Saccharomyces cerevisiae S288C: one gene and its partners. The protein of the gene in region 3 purifies or fractionates together with the protein of the main gene of each other region. This does not show direct contact. Each region holds a gene or a part of one and is shown on either strand. Other genes may lie near its edges. The genes, in order: SEC26, SEC21 and GLO3.

Region 1 (8,060 bases), on a different chromosome or scaffold from region 3:
CGTGATAAACTACTTTAAGCGTGAATATAACCGCACTTATTCACAGATATCACTTGCCCTCTACGAACTTCCATTAATTGGCGATGGCTTGTTTGATATAAAGTCGTACATTAGTAAAACCAGGCCAATTATAGAAACATCAAAAGCTCAAATGATTAAACATATTTCTGAAATGAAGGCATATAACGAAATAAGTGGCCTTCAAGGAGATCAATTTCCACGACAACAAAGACCTTTATCGAATTCGCCCTCTTCAAATTCAATTTCCTCTTCTCAAACTATTGAAGCAGGTGCAACTTCATATCAAACACAACCACAGAGACACGCTGTTAATAAGCCATCAAATGTATTGAATTCTTCCAATCGTCATTCCGGGCCAAAAACTTTTGAGGACGGAAGGTATAGTGAAGGTAATAAACCGGGTTTTATGACGCAGGATGAAATCAAACAACATTGCATTGGTACCATAAAAGCTTCTATGGATGCAGTGAAAAAGAAGTCTTCGTATCAGATTCTAAAGACATACGTTAGGTGTCCAAGACAAAATTATATTGATATTGTTTATCAAAATCTAAATGATCTACGATCAAAGACAAATTGTAATATCGTCGTATTGAATCTGAATAATCTTCACGAGTCACAAATGTGGCTTGAATCTTTAAATACAACAAATTACACTATTTTTGCTCAGGCGCCTCACCCAAGTACCATCCGCGTTATTAGTATTGGTGGAGTCGGTGAATATATAGTCAAAGCATTAGAGCTGATATTGAATATATTAGAACATTGAGTCGCATATAACAGTGGAGGTGTATAGATATATTTAAAAAACCTTTTGGTTATTTTTTCTCTTTCATGGCATTTGCTCCGTATGCAAAGCGATAGTTTAATTTAATGTTTTCTTTCAAATGTCATCGCGGATTCAAAGAGCGCACTATTATTATTTGGCAAAAGTTTAAGAGGGAAAATGTTGAAATAGCATGTTCTGCAAAGCGAATTACAGGTTTTGAAGGAGTCTACAGGTAAAGTCTAATAATACAGTGATGTTTGATGGCTTTAGCAACAATAAAGGTAAACGAAGGTCTTTTTTTCGGTTTGGTTCTGAAAGTAAAAACAATGACTCTGAAAAATCCGTTAGAAAGCCATCGGTGCCCTCTACAATAAAGAAATCAACAAATATCGCACGAACTTCGACGGCTGAAACTTCTGCCCCTGATATACCGCCAAGAAGTCCAAATAGGAATGCTCATAGCAGGAGCCATTCTATCCAGGCACCATTACAAAAGGAAACATTAAAGAATACTAATCCATTTTTGAATGCTGAGGATACCTTAGGAGATTCTCTTGAATTAACACAGTCCAAGGAAGCGTCAGGAAACGATCACAAAGGAATTGAATATTTACAAGAAAACAACATCATTGGGCAGAGAACCAACCCCTTCACAACAAGCGCAAATTCAAATGCACATTTCTCCAAGATAAAACGTTCGAGGCCTCCACCACCGCCTATGGACATGAAGTCAATAACAACGTCAATAAGCAACAATACTACTAAGGAAGAAATAGAGAGTAATAATGATTCTGAGCGGGATAGTATTGCAATCTCATCCACCCACAATCAACATAGGCGGCAGCGTTCAGAAGCAGAAAAGTTGGTAGATGATATTGAAAATTACATTAATGAACACAAGGTAAGTTCCGGTAGCTCACTATCCCTAGACACGTCTGAAAACTCAGATACTAAAGCATCGCAAGATAAGTTGCCAGTAGATGTCATGGAAGCTCCCATTTTGAGAAATGTCAGCGCGGAGAGTTCCTTAAGCTACGTAAAACCACTTATTGTGGATAATGAAGAAGTAAATAAAGCAAGTAACGGAAATTTAGTACAATCAGATCATCTAAAAGAATTTTCTTCGAATCTGGATGATGGGGATGATAAATTTTCCTTTAGTACATCGGCTAGTGGTAAATCCACCAAAAGCCTTCAGCAAGTTTCTAAAGACGAATCTAGTGGTTTTAAAGCTGCACATTTTGATTTTGCATATAAATCAAATGAGCACCTTGGGAGTGATGGAAGTATTGCAAGCGCCAGAAAGCCTCTGCGGATAACTAATGAGATTGATAGCGGTTCTTCCAACGAGGATGATGATGATGGTCTTCAGGAAAAAGGTTTTGTGGATAGTGAAAGTAAAGCATTTATAAATTACGCAAGTGATCAAGGCTCATCTATAAAAAATGACGTCTCAACACAAGAGCCTGAGTTACCAAGTCATCGTAGAATATTTAGGGTGGTTAATGAAGATCGCCCTAGTTTCTATTTAAATAGTGTAAACGATACGGGCAGTCTAACCGACAAGCATTCTTTTGACACTGCATCATCTGGTGAGTATGATGCCAAGTCAAACTTCTCTAGCCAGTCAGGACTTTCTATATCAAAAGGCTCTAAATCAACTGTTTTGGCTGCTCTTGACTCAAACGGAAACACAAAATCATCAAATAAAACATCCGAGTTAAACAGTTTAAACTCCATTTCAGAAAGTTTAGTGCCGGCTGCTCACTCGTTCAATGAACACACAGTTACTATCCCTGCAACGGTGGATTTACCAAATCCGGTACATGATGCCCCAAGCGAAAGATCTGTCAAATGTTCACCGTTAACATCTGTCGTATCGAACAAATCGGAAAAGTCCGTGCCTTTGGTTTCTAGTTACGTAGAAGAACTGCGACTAAAGTATTACAAGACTTCTAACTTTTTACAAGCGCCTCCTAACTTGCCGGTTGCTCTAAAACAAAAAAATAATTTGATTCAACCCAAGAATATTAAGGTCAAGTTGAGGACAAGTTCTAAGCAAATTGGTATCAAGCATGGTAAAGTTAAACAGAAATTACTGGCGTTGGAGACAAGAAATGAAGAATCAGATGGAACCGCTACAGGGCTGAAAAATAAAATCAATGTTGACCACACAAAGGAATTCCATAAATTGTTAGGGAAGGAAAATGAAACTGGCTCTATTTCAAAAAAAGAAGGCACTGACGCAGAACAAGCCGAAGACTACCTCAAGGACATACCCGGTGATGAAGCATATAACAGTGATGATATAATGGCGCCTTTACGAGAAAAAAGAGGGCAAAACGGTTCTGTTGATTCCGTGTCAAGATCTAACACGGTAGTCAGCTACTACACAAGGTCTCAGAACAGAATGAGAAGTGGAACACTGGATAATGATTACGTGAACAGACAAAAGCTTCCTACACATATCTCTCTTCAAGATTATCGTGATGCTAATGCTAGAAGTAATATATCGCGTCAGGACTCTGTCTCCACAACGAACTCTGATGTGGTAGACCTCAGCTATTCTCTGGGGCATGGCTTGCGTGTGGCAAACCCTGATTCAGACCCAGAATGATATCCTTCTCTGTAGTTTTGTAGATGTCATATATGTACGTTTATGGAACAGCATTTTAGAAAAGTATTACCCAGCTTATCACTTCGTTTTTTTTTTCTTTCCGTGTACTCGCTACACGTAGAAAGAAATCAGAAAACAACAGCTCGACAAGTGAAATTTGACGTTCATTAAGACTCAGTTAAGATTGCCTTGAGAATAAACAAAAGTAATCACAGTTAACTATTGAACAAGAGTGCACCTATGACTTCACTTTCTTCACAGCCAGCGTACACGTTGGTTTTCGATCCTTCTCCGAGTATGGAGACTTACTCGAGTACCGATTTTCAGAAAGCTCTTGAAAAGGGATCTGATGAACAAAAAATTGACACGATGAAATCAATTTTAGTTACAATGCTGGAAGGAAATCCAATGCCTGAATTGTTGATGCACATAATAAGATTTGTCATGCCTTCTAAAAATAAGGAATTAAAAAAGCTTTTGTACTTCTACTGGGAAATTGTTCCCAAACTAGCTGAAGATGGAAAATTGAGACATGAAATGATTCTTGTCTGTAATGCCATTCAACACGATTTGCAACATCCTAATGAATATATTAGAGGTAACACATTAAGGTTTTTAACGAAATTGAGAGAGGCCGAACTCTTAGAACAGATGGTTCCCTCTGTCTTAGCGTGCTTGGAATACCGTCATGCATATGTTCGTAAGTATGCAATCCTAGCAGTTTTCTCCATTTTCAAGGTCAGCGAACATTTACTTCCCGATGCTAAAGAAATCATCAATTCGTTCATAGTAGCTGAAACTGATCCAATATGTAAAAGAAATGCATTTATTGGGTTAGCTGAATTAGATCGTGAAAATGCCTTACACTATTTAGAGAACAATATTGCTGATATAGAAAACCTAGACCCTTTATTACAAGCTGTCTTTGTTCAATTTATCAGACAAGATGCAAACAGGACCCCTGCTTTGAAAGCCCAATATATCGAATTATTGATGGAACTGCTTTCGACCACGACTTCCGATGAAGTCATCTTCGAGACCGCATTAGCCCTAACTGTGTTGTCTGCCAATCCAAATGTCTTGGTTCCTGCGGTTAACAAATTGATTGACTTGGCCGTCAAGGTTTCTGATAATAACATTAAGTTAATTGTTCTAGACCGTATTCAAGACATCAATGCTAATAACGTAGGTGCTTTGGAAGAGTTAACCCTGGATATTTTGAGAGTCTTGAATGCAGAAGATTTAGACGTTCGTTCAAAGGCGCTTGATATTTCAATGGACTTGGCCACATCCAGAAATGCTGAAGATGTTGTTCAGCTTTTGAAGAAAGAGCTGCAAACAACCGTAAATAACCCAGATCAAGACAAGGCAATGCAGTACAGACAATTGTTAATAAAAACTATTCGTACCGTGGCTGTAAACTTTGTAGAAATGGCAGCAAGTGTTGTTTCGCTATTATTAGATTTCATCGGTGATTTAAACTCGGTTGCCGCCAGTGGTATCATTGCCTTTATCAAAGAAGTGATCGAAAAATACCCACAACTTAGAGCCAATATCCTTGAAAACATGGTTCAAACGCTAGACAAAGTGAGATCTGCTAAAGCTTACCGCGGTGCATTATGGATTATGGGTGAGTATGCTGAAGGAGAAAGTGAGATACAACATTGTTGGAAGCACATTCGTAACAGCGTAGGTGAAGTTCCTATCCTTCAATCAGAAATCAAAAAGTTAACACAAAACCAAGAACACACCGAAGAAAATGAGGTTGACGCTACCGCCAAGCCAACTGGTCCAGTTATTCTACCAGACGGTACGTATGCCACTGAAAGCGCTTTCGATGTGAAGACTTCTCAAAAGTCAGTTACCGATGAAGAACGTGATTCTAGACCTCCAATTCGCCGGTTTGTTTTAAGTGGTGATTTCTACACAGCTGCCATTCTGGCCAACACCATCATTAAACTTGTTTTAAAATTCGAAAACGTTTCCAAGAACAAAACTGTCATCAATGCTCTAAAGGCGGAAGCTTTACTAATTTTAGTTAGTATTGTAAGAGTGGGTCAAAGCTCTTTGGTGGAGAAAAAAATTGATGAAGATTCTTTAGAGAGAGTTATGACATCTATTTCTATTTTATTGGATGAAGTTAATCCTGAGGAAAAGAAGGAAGAAGTTAAACTTCTGGAGGTTGCATTCCTGGACACCACCAAATCCTCATTCAAGAGACAAATTGAAATTGCAAAGAAGAACAAGCATAAGAGAGCATTAAAAGACAGTTGCAAAAACATCGAACCAATTGATACGCCGATTTCTTTCAGGCAATTTGCTGGTGTGGATTCTACTAATGTGCAAAAAGATAGTATTGAAGAAGATTTACAACTGGCAATGAAAGGAGATGCAATCCACGCTACTAGCAGCTCTAGTATTTCGAAGCTGAAGAAGATAGTACCTTTATGTGGCTTTTCTGATCCAGTTTACGCCGAGGCTTGTATTACAAACAATCAATTTGACGTCGTATTAGATGTTCTTCTTGTTAATCAAACGAAAGAAACATTGAAAAACCTACATGTGCAATTTGCAACTCTTGGTGATTTGAAGATTATTGACACACCACAGAAGACCAACGTGATTCCTCATGGCTTCCACAAATTCACTGTTACTGTCAAAGTTTCCTCTGCTGACACAGGTGTCATTTTCGGTAATATTATTTATGATGGTGCGCATGGTGAAGATGCTCGTTATGTTATTTTAAACGACGTTCATGTTGACATTATGGATTATATCAAACCAGCCACTGCTGACGATGAACATTTCCGTACCATGTGGAATGCATTTGAGTGGGAGAACAAAATATCGGTCAAATCACAACTACCAACATTGCATGCTTATTTGAGAGAACTGGTCAAGGGAACTAATATGGGTATTCTAACACCATCAGAGTCGTTGGGAGAAGATGATTGTAGGTTCTTAAGTTGTAATCTGTATGCGAAGTCGTCCTTTGGTGAAGATGCCCTAGCCAACTTGTGTATCGAAAAGGATTCCAAAACCAATGATGTCATAGGTTATGTTCGTATCCGATCAAAGGGACAAGGTTTGGCTCTGTCCCTAGGTGACAGAGTGGCATTGATTGCTAAGAAGACCAATAAACTTGCTCTCACTCATGTTTGAACCACCCTGAGCTGATGCAATGTAAGTTATAATGTCAAAGGAGATAAGAATAAAACTTAAAAAATTCGAAAAGAAATAAAAAAATAAGGAAAATCTTTAAATAGATTTTAATTGCGTAGGAATCTTTGTTCTCATTTTTAAACAAGTATTCACTTTTATGTACATTTTCTTTCCTAAAAATCTTTATACAGAGTTGAGTTGTGAGTTGTGTAAGAGACGTCCAATTTTATAACAATTTGTAGACATCTCAGTGCCCCAAAGAGAACTATATGATTGAAAAATGGAGAGAGATAGTATCTTGTACAGTTTATATATTTACATGACGAATGGGAAATTATATATGCCCTTTGCCTTTCTGCCATAGAGCATGGCTAACTGGCCAGGACCATGAGATTGTATTCTTATTTCTCCTCTCCGAAAAATGGGAACTGGAACCCACTCAACAAAGTTCTCGCCTGGTAATCTAATTGAGCTGAGGTGTTTATATTTATGTGCATACCAAAAGTTTTAGGCCATGAGTCCTGGTTTGCATCGATTTCAGGGAAGAATTTGATATCTTCAGCCGTCAGGCCGAAACTAATCCCACCAAATCTGTTCCCAGACTGGTTGCTTATACCTTTATATTCTCTGATTCTTGGTAGGACGATTTCGGTCAATGTGCTTAAGAACTGAGACATTTCTTTTCCCTTTAGTTCGACTTTAGCTCCCATCTGATGACCTTTTCTCAGTTTCCAGGTTGGAACATCATTTTTGGAAAAAATTGGATGAGGTTTACATCCAGTAATTTGTTGTAATTGTAACGCAGCGGTGATAGCCAATAGCTGATTTTCTCTCGCTTCCCTAACAAAACAGTTTATTACAACACTTTCTAGCCCAGGAATGTTACTCCATTTGATAGGATGAATGTCAGGTAGTTGAGCTTTCGAACCTCGAGGATTTTTCGGTGGTCTGTTCAAGTGGTATGGCGAATCACCACTCCACGCTCTTTGTTTTAGACCCTTTACCACCGCAGCGTTATGTGAATAATTAATCAATAACAAATCAGATTGTAAAGTGTTAAGGTAATGGTCATTGAGTCTATCTGCATGAGTGTCTTTTGGTTTAAATCCAGGTGACCTAATATCACTTTTGTCATATTTCAATTCTGGAAATCTAGGGGATAACTTTGACTTATCAATTTTCACCAAGTGATGAACTGGTTTGACCAAAGAGCATGCAGATTTGGGCTTCACACAGGAGTGAGAGAATGATCTGTGAGTGACTAGTGAAAACCTTTGCATTTTGTTCGTGAATCTCGAGCCCTCTTCAAAGTGGTACAACTAAAAAAACAAAGGAGAGTATTTACACTATTTCCGGTCCTGTCTATTACTTTACAGATACCTCCCCAAATTAGTTATAAAATTCTAAACAGATGCTTTTCCTGTCTTTTTATTCTTCTGTTTTCGAAAGGCCCTTCGTAGATGATAGGTGATTTTGTCGTGTTCGCTTTTA
Region 2 (8,130 bases), on a different chromosome or scaffold from region 3:
ATTACTCTCGTTCCAACATTATCGGAAGAGGTTTGGTTTATTCCAACAATTAGAATCGCAGTAGTGATTACCCTTTTAAGTAATCGCTGTGTTTCGGTGGTGATATAGTCGCCATCACTTATTACCTCGTCATTACAGTTACACCATCCAACACATGGGCGGTTAGTGTAGTGGTTATCATCCCACCCTTCCAAGGTGGGGACACGGGTTCGATTCTCGTACCGCTCAAATTTTTTGATGGCATTGCTTGCATTTTCAAGTATTATATCGACATTTATTTTGTACTGGGAAGTCATAAAGCCCTAATCCATTCTGTTTATTACATTGTGTTCACTTATTTTACTTAAGTACCAAAGATATGGGGGTAATACATTTTTTTACTGCAGTTCTATATAAGGTCATCTTCCACTTCGCTGTCCTCATTCTTGTCACTTGTGCTTGAAGTGTTCTCATCTCCAGAAATGAAAGCAAGCAACTTTTGCCCATCAAAATAACGTCCGGTCATGATTTTGCAACATTGCAATGCAACTTTATTGTTCTTAAAGACGACCGTCGCTTCCCCCTTATTGGGAGATACAGATATACTGTCTACTTGACCTATCTCTTCACAGCCTTCCAAAAGATCTTCCTGAATATCATTTATATCATCATTTGTGTATGATTTGTAAATATTGAATACGTTGGCAAATATCACCGTTCGATCAGCTTTTGCTAGGCTTTCATCGTCATTGTAATCTATTACTTCCCCCTCCCCTTCAGACTTCGCTTTTTTTAGCCTCTTTATTGGAGGCTCAGGTCCGTTGAACTCCTTTAAATCATTTTCTTTCCCGTGCATATTGTCACCTTCCTTGTTTTGAAATTGGGCTCTTTCGACCCTGATCTGTTTTCCCAGGAAGATCGACTCGTTCATCATTTCGATTGCTAATGTAACACTTTCTTCCTTGGAATAAGTGATCAAGGCATCCCCTTTGAAAGCGCCTTTATCATTCACATATAGCTTGCAAAGGGGTTCCCCATCTCGATTGGTTCTTATCATTCCATACTTGCAAAACTGCTCAGTGAGTCCTTCTTTCGTTGTTTTGTCTGTGGGAAGACCAGAAATATATATTGAAGTATTTTTTGAGGCATTATTATATTCAAGCTCTCTTTTCTGAAGATTACTCTCTTTTAACTGTTTCCTTCTAAGCAATTCTTCTTTTTTCAATTTTTTCAAATGACCTTTCAATTCCAATTCATCAGCATCCATCGCTGTCAAACAGTAATGTTGGTAACGGAATACAGTGAAAAGTGTAGTGCGTTCAAGGGTCTGCAGCCTTTTACAATATGCCTGGTCAGACTAGTGCTTTTTTTTTGTTTTTTTTCTTCTTCTTCTTTCATCAATTGCATAATGTCAACTTTTTTCTGCCCTGTTGTCCTGTTTCTTCCATTTCGTTTTCTCTTGTCAAACTATTATAGTATTTTTCTTTAAAAATTTTGTTTATACAAAGATTACATAATTTATTCTTCGTGTGGTGATGATCCGTCATATTCTATCCGTGATTTTTTTGGTTTATTATTGTTCTTGCTGTTCATTCCCTTATTTGCATGCACGCTTGCTAAAGCTGACGCATTTCTTTTAATACTATTGATAACAAAAGAAGGGATTAACTGAAATAAAATTTCACAGCTTACTGCATTAGACCATTCACCAGATCAGAGCATAATAAGCTGTCTTCACCTTTACCATGAACTTTCAAAGCAAGACCTTTCGAACTCTTGATCATCTTAATCTGTAGGGCTACTTTAGATCCAGTTAAAGCACTCTTACCAAATAATTTCAAGGTGTGGGAGTTTGAATCACTTGGAGCAAATTGGGTACTTTCCACCGGTAAGCAGCTACTGTTCAAAATAATCTTATCTACTACTTCTTGTATGGATAAATCTTCTTGAATGTTGAAAACAGCAACTTCTTCGCATGGCAACTCATCAAATGTAGCGGAGAAGTTACCAGTGAAAGAACTCTTAACATAATCACCAGCATTCAAGAAAATCGAGTCAATTTCATATTCATCTTGGAAACCTTCATCACCATCAAATGGCTCATTAGTGTCAGGGTTTATTTCTTTTGTAGTGAATGTTAAGTTGTTCAAGAAACCTTCCATTACAATTTCATCAAGTTTTTTGAATGCAACGTAACAAGCTGCTTCCTCGGATGGTAATAATCTGTCCACTTGTAGGGTGAATAGCTCTTCTAATTCAGCTTCATCAGAAATTTCAGGGGTACAGACTACAGAAACATTGTCTAGGGCAATATCCGTCAGAGTATTCGTAATATTAAATTGTAAAACAACATTGTCTTTGAAGAGATGTTTGACACCACGTACAACGAATTCTGCTTCTGGCTCAGTTAATGAGATAGCCCTAGAACTATTTACTAATTGACCAAATGGTTTAATTTGTTCAATGGATAGCAATTCGTCAGCGTACTTAGTAGCTAGTAGATCTTCTTGGTGGTCGTCCAAGTTTGGACCAGCAAATGAATTAGCGTCAGCTCTTTTTTCTGGAACACTCTCTGCCTCTGGTGTAGTATCCAAAGTGGTTTCAGACTTTTGATTGAAAATTTGTTCTTGCTTTCTCTTCAGATTTATTGCCTTCATTTCATCCTCAGTAAACTTACGAACTTGATTCACATCAAATGCAGTTGCAAATGAATCAGTATTTGAGGAAATGTAAGAACTTAATTTTGACTCTAATGATGGAATATCGTAAAAATATTTGGATTCGATTAGATTTTGTGCTATAACATCATCTTTATTCCTAGCCGAATCAATGAATTCTAGTGCAATGGTGGCTCTGTCTCTGACTTCATCGTCTTTATCATTAGCGATTCTCTTTAACAAACTTATGATTGACTCATATAAGGTAGGATCGTTCTTCGTCAAAGCAAACTTAGATAAAGCTACAACGGCAGCAGATCTAATAATAGAATTTTCCAACACCACTCTGTTATAAATATGTCTAACATATAATGATGGATTTGGGGCAGATGGACCTTCTTTACCCAAAAGATGTAGTATTCTCACTAGTATTTCGTTGAATTCACAATCCTCGATGAAATCACACAAGTTTTCTAAGGCGAGTTCTTTAGACTGTGGAACAAATGAAACAATATCGATTAATGCTTCGACAATACTGTTTTTAAATTTGAATCCACCTTCACTATTTTTCAAAACATCGATTAAGAAGTTCAAAATTGACTTCCATTCCTGTGGGAAGTTCAAAGACAACGTACGAACGGCGTCAATAATAATGATCTTAAAGTCATCACTGACATCATGGATAAAATTAGTAATAGTCGAAATCAGAGATGAAATATTTTTGGAAGTTCCTGTCTTCAATAAAGTGGTGATTGCATAAGTAGAAATGTTTCTATTAGAATCATTAATTAAAGATTCTAGTTCAGGATTACAAACAACAATCTTTTCTGGTGAAACCATGGATATTCTATTTAAGATTCTCAATGCAGCGAATCTAGAAGAAACACGAGGAACGGTCAGTAAGGACTGTAAAGCACTGATAGCTGCCGCATATAACTCGGGAGCCACTAAGCGGGAATTGCGAGTAGCGAAAGAAGTAATCAATTTCGCCGTTTCCAACTGAACAGATTCGAACTTGTTGGATAGCCAATCAGACAAAAGTGGCCTGAATTGACTAAATAATTGAGGATCCCTATAAATCAAATCGTTGACAATCTTGACCAATTCTACCTTGGCCAATTGATTTTTCATAGAATTGTTTTCAGAGAAATGTCTAACCAATTTTAGTAACGCCATTTTATCAGTTTTCTTCAGTTGATAAAGCAACCCAAGAGCATGATATTGAGAAATATAAGTGGAGTTTGGATAATATTCGCTATTACCGTGTTGATTTGGAAATTGTTTCAAATCCAAAACAGCTTCTTGAGTTTCATTGGTGAATCTTCTGATAGTGACTTCTGAAATGGGCAGCAAATGATAAGAAGTACATAATGCTGCTGAGGATATTGAAGGATGTCTACTTACCACGGCACTTTTTAATAACCTTTCAGCGGAAAAAGCAGTAGATTCATCCAAGACATAAGTCAGCGATCTAATAGCGTCAGGCTTAATCAAATCGGAACCGTTTTGAACGTCCTTCATGATTGAAGAGGTTGCCATCAACACATCCTCCGAAATGCCACTCAATTCCTTGATTGCCAAATAAACAGCCTGCCTTAAAGGATCGTTCTGGTGTTGAAATAATTTGGAGATAGAGAAAAATAATGCAGTTGCTTCATTCTGTGGGAAGGTTTCGCCCTGGGCCAAGAGTCTCAGCAAGCGAGAAATCAATAAACGACATCTCTTGGAATTGACAGGTGATTCGTTAAACGTGTTCATACAATCCTGATAAATGGTCATTTTATCAGGTAAATCGCCCGAGGTCGAGTTTTCAAACTTTTTGTAAGTATGTGCAGACATGTTGATTCGCTCTGTGATTTAGTATCGCTTCTTGGCTTTTGTCCTATCCGTATTTGTTTAGTTATTTTGTATTATACGTCGTTCTGTAATGTTTGCGGGCTCACCTGGATGAAGCTAAGAACAAAAAAACGGGTTTAGCAGAATAACTGAAGAAGTACGTTGGTAATGAGCACACACAATTCCTCCCTTGCACTTATTTGTAAAGAATTGTGTTCTCAACAATGCAACTCGTATCCAAAAAAACGCCTATGTATATTTCATTGATCTTGACGAAACCTTTAGATTTCGAAAAAAATAGAATCGTGGTTCGTGGCGTCGTAGTGAATGACACAAGGGGTACATTCCGGGTGATAGGATGAAAAATGGGTAATAGTAATAGTACAGAAGAACCTTCTGGCACTTAACTTAAACCATTCTGAAATATGAGTGGACTTTATACATTTCATGCATATAAATATAACTATACAAAATTAGGAGAGGTGAGGAAGTGAAACTAAAACAAAAAGGCAAGGTTAAAACAATACAGGAAAATAGAAAGAGAAAAACAGTAATATATCTATGGGGATGCATCATGAGGTTTCTTCGTTTAATGTCAGTAGCAATTGTGCCAGACATCTCTTGGACCCGACGTCGTCTCTTAGTACTTCCGTAAAAGTGTTATCTCTCAGTTTGGCAGGTAAGACTATTTTCAATAGCCTGCGTGCTTCGAGATCGTCGCTTAATCTTAAGTAGCATCTAATGATATGTTTCAGTAGTCGTCCCGGTGGTGTGCTCACGGTCAAGTGCTCAACCATATCTTTTAAGACATTAGTTACGGCGTAGAACCTTTCCAAGGTGGCACAGATGTATTGCAATCCAACGTCATCTAGTAGGATTTTCTGTAAAATGAAAATGGCGACTGTCTTGGAAAGCTCAGAAGAAGATTCCATGATCCTTAGGCATAACGGCACGATATCGGTTCTTAGCAAAAACGTTATTACGTCTTGTGAGTCATTTTTGACCAATGCGCCTATCACACCTAATGAAGTCAATCTCAAGTACTCAAAAGTTCTTTGCCTGGAGGTAGTATTTAGGAAGGGGAAAAGAAAGAGAGGAATATGGGCCTGTAAAAAGAGATGTTTTGTCTCTGGGTGAGATGCAACACACTGTAGAAGAACTAGAGCGTTGCATACACGATTTGATAGATTGTTAGAGAGCATCTGAGGTTGCAGCATGGGATATACGGAAATGATTTCGTTCAGCAATGAGGTCATTACACCAAAGGAAGACCAAAGCACAACGGCAAGGTCATCAAACTGTTCTCTTTTGCGACCTAATTCAAGCAGTGCTTGTTCCTTTTGAGGGCCGTAGGTCAATTGACAAATCCAGTGGTATACATTGGGATCATCTAGAGCATGCACTGCGCCTCTATTATTGACCATGTTGGGATTGTTTCGAGTTGCGTTAGCATCGTTACCGCCGTTATTGCCGTTATTGCCGTTGTTCTCGCCATTTTCATTGCTATTATTATTATTCGGAGTATTGCCCATTAGCATGGGGCCTCCACTTGGAATTTGTTGATTCATGCCTGGACCCATTGAAGTTGGAACCCCAGGCATGGACATAGATCCTGGATTATTAGTTGAAGGACCACCACCACCCATGTTCACGCCTGCTCCATTGCCATATATTGGCTTTTGAGCGGAAAACATATTAACTTATTCAGAGGATGTTCAGTTGCTGTCGTTGTTGCTTCAGGAACAAAGTTTAATCTCGTCAAGATCAGCAGAAACACACACACTCGCAAATTTGTCAAAACTTGGGAGTTTTAAAAGATGAACGGTTTCTAACTTGCGTACTCTACGTCTTTGCAATCCCTTTACAATGTCTTCTATGCGTAAATTACTTTAAATTTGGATTTTGCCTCTTGCTGCTCGCAGCAAAATTCTCAGCATGTTGAGGTGTGTGGGTGGAGTTTTTCCTCTCCTGCTAGTAATACTTATGCAAGAATCTACGTCTAATGAGGTGCTCACGTTTTGCAATGATGATATAAATAGGGACAGTAATCTAATATAGACAAGTGGGCGTAATAGGGTTTTCTTCTCTCTCTTATGCATTCTGTAAGCATCTCGCTTTATGTGAGGAATAGTAGTAAAAGCGTATGATACAGGGAAATAGTAGTACTTTTACAATAGTATTGCTACTTGCATTCCCAAAAACATTCAATAAATGCACTTGGTTTCGAGCGTCTTTTGTTTATTTTTAAGTTTTGTTTGTTTTTTTTATTGTTTTGCTTCGTAGTTTCAATTTTAAACATTAATGTGTGCAAAAACTATAAGACAATGGTATACGCAAGAAAAACTATAAGTAGCATATTTAGTCTACTCCGAGCCATATCGGAAAGAACAATGTCGCGTCTTGCAAAGGCTGTTAATACATAGAATAGGCCACTCCAGGCATGTAAATACATGATTGATTGGATGAGCAACACTGAAATGGACCAGTGGCAACCTAACAGGATTTCTGATCTATTTCACGCCCAGAAAAAAGGCGTACATTCTATAATCTACTTAACAGACCTATACAAGCACTGTCCTACATATTTCAAAAGATTTAATTTACATATCGATTCCGTTCAACGTAAACAGTTTGCTCATAATACAGTCACAGATGTGAGAGAAAAAAAAAAAAGAAAATAAAGGAAAATGGATCAGAAATTTGGGTATACTTAATGCTTCATAGGACACCTGAGTACTTGTGGCATCCATGTTCAGACTGGTGCACAGCTTTTTTCTCGTCATTTACCATTTTTCCTTGAATTCATGTTTAATTTTCATCTTCGTCATGTGTTAAGGTACTATTACGAAACAAAATGTTAACGCCTTTGATAAACTTATCAAAGTTACGAGACCGGTTCGCACTACGATACTTTGCTATTGCTTCATTTTTTCTATCATATGTAAAACATAAACCACTGAGAGAAAACTTCTGCATTTAAATCAAATATGTCCGCCTTTTATACTTTAAGAAGAAAAAATTTATCTTTTTTCTTCCTCATATTGCAGGTATCACCCGAATGGAAGTTATAACGGCACAATCACTTAGGGCTTAACATACAATAACAAATACCATTTTTAATGTTGTGTTCAGTTGATTGTTATTATTATTAGGTATCCTTGATTATTTAAATTTATAATATATTATGTATCCGTTAATTATGCTCTATTAAAAATCTTTCTCCCACTAAGAGCCCCGTAAGGGCCATCTTGTTTACCACATTAAAACCCATGTTGACTCATGATCTGTTCCAGATCCCAACTTTGCCTGTTGACATTGTCGTTCCATTTCTCTACCGTCCTGACGTAATTCGTGTTAGCGACTGTGTTGTTCGCTATGTTGGTTACATCTTTTAGCCTTCTTAGATCATTACAACTGTCGACTAGAGTAGCAGAACTTAAATCGGATGCTATCGACACGTTTCTCTGTTTTTCGTAGAGTTTGAATCTGTTGTTTGATCTGATAGGACTCGTGCCAGCACAAGTCCTTCTGTTCATGGACATCATCATGTTAATTCTCTTCCTTTGGTCGCTGGATCTTGCCAAGTCTTGCTTGATGGGCTCTAATAGAGGCTGCAGATCTAGGATCAAATCTTCTGTGTTCACCCTGAGGTCCCAGT
Region 3 (6,765 bases):
TTATCACGTTGCCTTCTCCTTACGACCTCAATGGCAAGGCTGTTGCAGATGTTTGGTCCGACTTGGAGGCTGAGTTCAAGCAACAGGCTATCTCTAAAAAGATAAAAGTCAAATATTTGATAAGTCCAGATGTACACCCAGCACAGAACCAAAATATACAGGAAAACAAGGAAACTGTTGAACCAGTAGTCCAAGACAGTGAGCCAAAGGAAGTGCCTGCTGTGGTAAACGAAAAGGAGGTCCCTGCTGAACCGGAAACTCAACCTCCCGTCCAAGTAAAGAAAGAAGAGGTCCCACCTGTCGTTCAGAAAACCGTTCCTCATGAAAATGAGAAGCAAACGTCCAACAGCACTCCGGCCCCACAGAACCAGATAAAGGAAGCCGCAACCGTACCTGCAGAAAATGAATCATCCAGCATGGGTATATTCATATTGGTTGCACTCCTTATCTTGGTTTTAGGATGGTTCTACAGATAATAGGGAGATTGAGGATATAGCTGTATTCTAAATATATATTTATATATGTGTGTGTTTTGCCCTTTCCTTCCTTTCAGTCTTTATTTTACTTTGTTTTTCTACAATCTTTTTTTATTGTTTCCTTCTGTAGCCTTTACAATACTAGAACAAGGAACTAAAAGATCATACTTTCCTAACTTTTTTATATGTTTTATTTTTTAAATAGGAGAATAATCGATAACTATACCACTGTTGTAACATATTACTTGTTTAATTTATTCATGTTCGGTTTCCCTAGTGTAGTAGGCGCTATCTTGGGCAAATAACTATCCGTTATTAACCATAACAATGCGGGGTCTACTAAATGAGGGGAGGGTCTTGGATGCACATTAACGAAGATCTTGCGAGGGGGTCGCGCCTAAAAGGTCCATAAATAAATGAATACATAAACAGCCACCTACTTTCAGTTTGTTTTTTGCTAGGTCTCATAGTGAACGAGGGACTCACATATTGACAATATAGTAACATGGGCTTATCGCGCTGGCACGACAAGAATTCAAGGCCAGCAGAGGAAAAGAGCGAAGAAATGCAACAGGATGCGCACTACTACGCCCTTGCGGCAAGTGATAGTTTAAATGCAAGTGTTTCTAACGAATATGGTAATCAAGTAATGAACTCGTTTTGGAAAGTGGGTATAGACTCTCCCTATGTGGACGATGAAGCAATTAGAAACAGAGATGTCGAAAATAACTTACCTTCTTTAAAGCAAAGTGTTTATAATGCTAATGAACCAAATGCTACCTCGTCTGCATTTTCAACCGCTTCATACGCACATGAAACTTTCGATTTTAGAAACCTTAAACTAAGATAAGGGGGGATGAAGAATAAGAATAAACGCACGTACAATGCATATACAACCGTTTCTATGTACCATAAATATAATTATCATATAATGAAAAATGAGAATAAAAAACAATGATAACAATGAAAAAAAAAAAATTCAATTAAAGAGAAAATTAAACTTATTTTCTTAAGTAGTCCCTTAAATAACTACCGAGTTTTTCAGCACCCTGTTCTACAACGTCTCTCAACATCTGCAATTCATCATCTGCGGAGGCATTAAAATCGATGAAACCGTTATTAGAATTACGGCCATCAAAATTCCCTGCTCCACTTCCACTACTATTGATGGGATTACCAAATTCATCCACTTCTTTATCTTCTCCAAAGTATGAAGAAGAGGAAATTGATGTAGCATTGTCAAATGTTTTCAACTTGTCATGCGCTTCCCTGTTTGCTGCTTCATCAAATGAGCCACGACCAAATAATTGATCAGATGATATAGCTTTTTGTGTGCCGTACCTTTCCGCGATTCTGCCCGTATATCTTGGTCCCTGAGCTATTTTCTGAGATTCTTTTTGTTGCTTTGCCAAATCATTGGCGTCATTCATGGTCATACCAAATCCCAATTTGGCAAACTTGGGTGTTAAAGTATCTTGCTGTTCTTTTCTAGTTGTGTCGAAGCTGTTTGAAGTGTCATTTAAAAAATCATTGAATTCATCAGGCTGGGTATTAATATCATCTATACTGTTATTATTGTTGCCTTTACTGTTATTCATAAATTGGGAATCGTAATCATTTTGTCTAATTTTGGTGCTAGAAGACGAATTAGTGAACTCGTCCTCCTTTTCTTGTTGAGCCTCTTTTTTAAATTGATCAAACAAGTCTTCTGCCTGTGATTTGTCGACTTTCTTTGCGGTTAGTCTAGTGGGCTTTCTTGACGAAGACAAAATTGAATGTTTCTTTTTATCTTGCGAGTTTAATACCGGTTTCTTTCTGCTAGCCGTTAAGATGGAACTTCTCGTTTTAGTGACAGTGGTCTTGGGTGTGCTGCCTGTGGTGTTGTTTTTTGGGGCGAGAGAGCCTGTATTTACATTGAGTTTAGAACTGGAATTGGAGCTTGGTTTTTGCCAATTAGAGAAAAAATCGTCAACACTATTTTCTTTGGAAGTCGACCTGGAAGCGTCTGAATCGGTGTCCAACGGTGAGTCCGAAGAATCTTGACCGTTCAAGACTAATTCTGATGGGTATAACTCCATATCCTTTTGAACCTTCTTGTCGAGATGTATCTTATATTTCTTAGCAACAGGGCTCGTATATTTTGTTTTCGCGTCAACATTTGCTGTATTTAGTAGCTGTTTCCCATTGTTCTTTAAGAAAAAATCACGAGCCTTATGGTTCCCACCCAACTTAAACCTTCTTAAATTGTTAATTGTCCATTTATCTAATGTAGAAGACTTTACAAAGGTGATATGAACACCCATGTTTCTATGCACAGCAGAGCATTGAATACACAGCATCACACCAAAAGGTACCGAAGTCCAAGTAGGATTCTTGTTACCACAATCAAAACAAACTCGATTTTCCATGTTGCTACCTAGCTTCTGAAAAACTTGTTGAGTAGTCTGTTCCGTGGCAAATGTTTCTCCTTCATCGTTACTCATTGTCGCTATGTGTATACTAAATTGCTCAAGAAGACCGGATCAACAAGTACTTAACAAATACCCTTTCTTTGCTATCGCCTTGATCTCCTTTTATAAAATGCCAGCTAAATCGTGTTTACGAAGAATAGTTGTTTTCTTTTTTTTTTTTTTTTTTCGAAACTTTACCGTGTCGTCGAAAATGACCAAACGATGTTACTTTTCCTTTTGTGTCATAGATAATACCAATATTGAAAGTAAAATTTTAAACATTCTATAGGTGAATTGAAAAGGGCAGCTTAGAGAGTAACAGGGGAACAGCATTCGTAACATCTAGGTACTGGTATTATTTGCTGTTTTTTAAAAAAGAAGGAAATCCGTTTTGCAAGAATTGTCTGCTATTTAAGGGTATACGTGCTACGGTCCACTAATCAAAAGTGGTATCTCATTCTGAAGAAAAAGTGTAAAAGGACGATAAGGAAAGATGTCCCAACGATCTTCACAACACATTGTAGGTATTCATTATGCTGTAGGACCTAAGATTGGCGAAGGGTCTTTCGGAGTAATATTTGAGGGAGAGAACATTCTTCATTCTTGTCAAGCGCAGACCGGTAGCAAGAGGGACTCTAGTATAATAATGGCGAACGAGCCAGTCGCAATTAAATTCGAACCGCGACATTCGGACGCACCCCAGTTGCGTGACGAATTTAGAGCCTATAGGATATTGAATGGCTGCGTTGGAATTCCCCATGCTTATTATTTTGGTCAAGAAGGTATGCACAACATCTTGATTATCGATTTACTAGGGCCATCATTGGAAGATCTCTTTGAGTGGTGTGGTAGAAAATTTTCAGTGAAAACAACCTGTATGGTTGCCAAGCAAATGATTGATAGAGTTAGAGCAATTCATGATCACGACTTAATCTATCGCGATATTAAACCCGATAACTTTTTAATTTCTCAATATCAAAGAATTTCACCTGAAGGAAAAGTCATTAAATCATGTGCCTCCTCTTCTAATAATGATCCCAATTTAATATACATGGTTGACTTTGGTATGGCAAAACAATATAGAGATCCAAGAACGAAACAACATATACCATACCGTGAACGAAAATCATTGAGCGGTACCGCCAGATATATGTCTATTAATACTCATTTTGGAAGAGAACAGTCACGTAGGGATGATTTAGAATCGCTAGGTCACGTTTTTTTTTATTTCTTGAGGGGATCCTTGCCATGGCAAGGTTTGAAAGCACCAAACAACAAACTGAAGTATGAAAAGATTGGTATGACTAAACAGAAATTGAATCCTGATGATCTTTTATTGAATAATGCTATTCCTTATCAGTTTGCCACATATTTAAAATATGCACGTTCCTTGAAGTTCGACGAAGATCCGGATTATGACTATTTAATCTCGTTAATGGATGACGCTTTGAGATTAAACGACTTAAAGGATGATGGACACTATGACTGGATGGATTTGAATGGTGGTAAAGGCTGGAATATCAAGATTAATAGAAGAGCTAACTTGCATGGTTACGGAAATCCAAATCCAAGAGTCAATGGCAATACTGCAAGAAACAATGTGAATACGAATTCAAAGACACGAAATACAACGCCAGTTGCGACACCTAAGCAACAAGCTCAAAACAGTTATAACAAGGACAATTCGAAATCCAGAATTTCTTCGAACCCGCAGAGCTTTACTAAACAACAACACGTCTTGAAAAAAATCGAACCCAATAGTAAATATATTCCTGAAACACATTCAAATCTTCAACGGCCAATTAAAAGTCAAAGTCAAACGTACGACTCCATCAGTCATACACAAAATTCACCATTTGTACCATATTCAAGTTCTAAAGCTAACCCTAAAAGAAGTAATAATGAGCACAACTTACCAAACCACTACACAAACCTTGCAAATAAGAATATCAATTATCAAAGTCAACGAAATTACGAACAAGAAAATGATGCTTATTCTGATGACGAGAATGATACATTTTGTTCTAAAATATACAAATATTGTTGTTGCTGTTTTTGTTGCTGTTGATAAAGCGATTTTTATACTTTTCTCTTTTTCCTTTTTTTTTTTGATTGGCTGTTTCCTTATGCCGCTCTTTCCCAATTTATGACTTTCCAATAATGTATTATTTTGTTTCTCTTTCTCTCTGTTACCCTTTATTTTATCATCTACAATAATTGAATTCCGGAGAGGGTAAAGAAACAGGAAAAAGAAGAAAATGAGACATAGTCAGCATCGTAATCGTTTTCCTTCTGTATATTCCTTTATCAAAAGACTACACGCACATATATATTAATCCCGGTATGTTTTTGGTGTGCTAAATCTATCTTCAAGCACTATTATAGCATTTTTTTAAGAATATCCAAAATAATATGTAATTTATGATTAATCAAGGTTCAAGAATTGGAGAAACCGTGAGCGACTTCTTTGATACTTGGATGTAAGCTTTTATTTAGTTGCTTTTTCGTTTTCTTTTATTTACGCCCTTGTTTTGCGTGTATACTTTACTTTTCTAATTCACTTGAGAGCGGGACTATATATAAAAAAATGCACAATTACAAACTTGAGAATGAATGCATATCGTGAAGATTTTGATATTAAATTAAGAAGCCAAAAAAACGTAGGCAACCATAACAAATTTCGGCATTGAACTTGATTCTAAATGCTACATACAATTACGCGCGCTGTTTTGATATACACACACATATATATATATATACATTGTGTAAGAAAAATTCAAAGCTTAGTAAAACATACAGATCATGGAGAAAAAAAAAAAACCGAATACTTGTGTTACCAGAAGGATCCACTGACTGGACTTGGGTCACAATTTGAATTTTATTGATTTTCACCTTCATCAAGGAGGATGGTCGTTAGTAATAAAGGGCATTCTGAGTGACAGACAAAGAAATTATCTTCAAAGAAATGTTACTTTGATTCATTGATATGTTATTTGTTTTTATTTGAAAGCACTCAAGGAAACTAGACAACAGTAGTATCAATAGTAGATCCACTTAAATGCACATCATTTACAGAATACATCCTCTTTGTGAAGACGATATCCTCTTGGTCATCATTCAATCTACCTTCGCTAACAGTATTTGCTGAAGAACAATCCCAATTACCAGAATTTGAGAACATATCATCAGATGTTTCTGTCATACTATGGTCACTCTCATTGGATAATGATAACATAGAAGAATCAGATATTCCACTCTTCCCAGTACCATTACCATCGATTATTTTACCGGTATCGACATTGAATTGAACTTGACAAATTTGATGTAATCCCAGTTCACAAAAATTGTCAAGAGTTACTAAACTTCCATCGTTTGCCATATCAAGGAATAAAAATCCACATCCTTTTCCATTGGCCTTAGTGTCATTGCTCTTCAAGCAAATATTTTTATCACTCATACCACTCACAATAATGTTTCCACATTGGAAGACTTGCTTGGTTAATAGTAGTTCACTTTCACTATCTAGGCTAATTGAGTTAAATCCATGGACTAACTCACCATATTTCATGTTTTGTAGGTTTTGTAAATCCCAACAAATGACAAAGCCTTGGTCATCACTGCTATATAACGCGCCTGTGTTTTCGTTAAATTTTAGACTTTCAATGTATCCTTTCTTAGCATATAATTCACAAACTGGTTTACCGTCGCAGGATTGAATGTCCCAAATTTGAATTTTATCGTTCAAGCTCTGTGCAACGTGATGATTACTTATCCATACGCAATCCAAACTTGTGTTCTTTCTTTGCAAATGGTCTTTTCCACATCCTGCAGATATGCTA

What was found.
Region 1: the proteins of GLO3 (region 3) and SEC26 purify together in Saccharomyces cerevisiae (affinity purification with mass spectrometry; 4 studies listed by BioGRID). This does not show direct contact.
Region 2: the proteins of GLO3 (region 3) and SEC21 purify together in Saccharomyces cerevisiae (affinity purification with mass spectrometry; 5 studies listed by BioGRID, with this or other methods). This does not show direct contact.

What each region holds. Positions count from the first base shown.
Region 1 is NC_001136.10:936,404-944,463, reverse strand, and holds SEC26 (coatomer subunit beta), read left to right. Parts: upstream 1-3,647; coding exon 3,648-6,569; downstream 6,570-8,060. Other genes in the region: SNU56 (Snu56p), read left to right, coding at 1-790; YDR239C (uncharacterized protein), read left to right, coding at 1,044-3,407; mitochondrial 54S ribosomal protein uL5m MRPL7, read right to left, coding at 6,971-7,849. UniProt on the Saccharomyces cerevisiae protein: The coatomer is a cytosolic protein complex that binds to dilysine motifs and reversibly associates with Golgi non-clathrin-coated vesicles, which further mediate biosynthetic protein transport from the ER, via the Golgi up to the trans Golgi network.
Region 2 is NC_001146.8:88,339-96,468, reverse strand, and holds SEC21 (coatomer subunit gamma), read right to left. Parts: upstream 4,476-8,130; coding exon 1,668-4,475; downstream 1-1,667. Other genes in the region: U2 snRNP complex subunit CUS2, read right to left, coding at 389-1,246; CCR4-NOT core subunit CAF40, read right to left, coding at 5,045-6,166; PCL1 (Pcl1p), read right to left, coding at 7,733-8,130. UniProt on the Saccharomyces cerevisiae protein: The coatomer is a cytosolic protein complex that binds to dilysine motifs and reversibly associates with Golgi non-clathrin-coated vesicles, which further mediate biosynthetic protein transport from the ER, via the Golgi up to the trans Golgi network.
Region 3 is NC_001137.3:401,394-408,158, forward strand, and holds GLO3 (ADP-ribosylation factor GTPase-activating protein), read right to left. Parts: upstream 2,960-6,765; coding exon 1,478-2,959; downstream 1-1,477. Other genes in the region: phosphatidylinositol-binding protein SCS2, read left to right, coding at 1-476; YER121W (uncharacterized protein), read left to right, coding at 982-1,326; casein kinase YCK3, read left to right, coding at 3,420-4,994; DSE1 (Dse1p), read right to left, coding at 5,949-6,765. UniProt on the Saccharomyces cerevisiae protein: GTPase-activating protein for the ADP ribosylation factor (ARF) family. Involved in retrograde vesicular transport from the Golgi to the endoplasmic reticulum.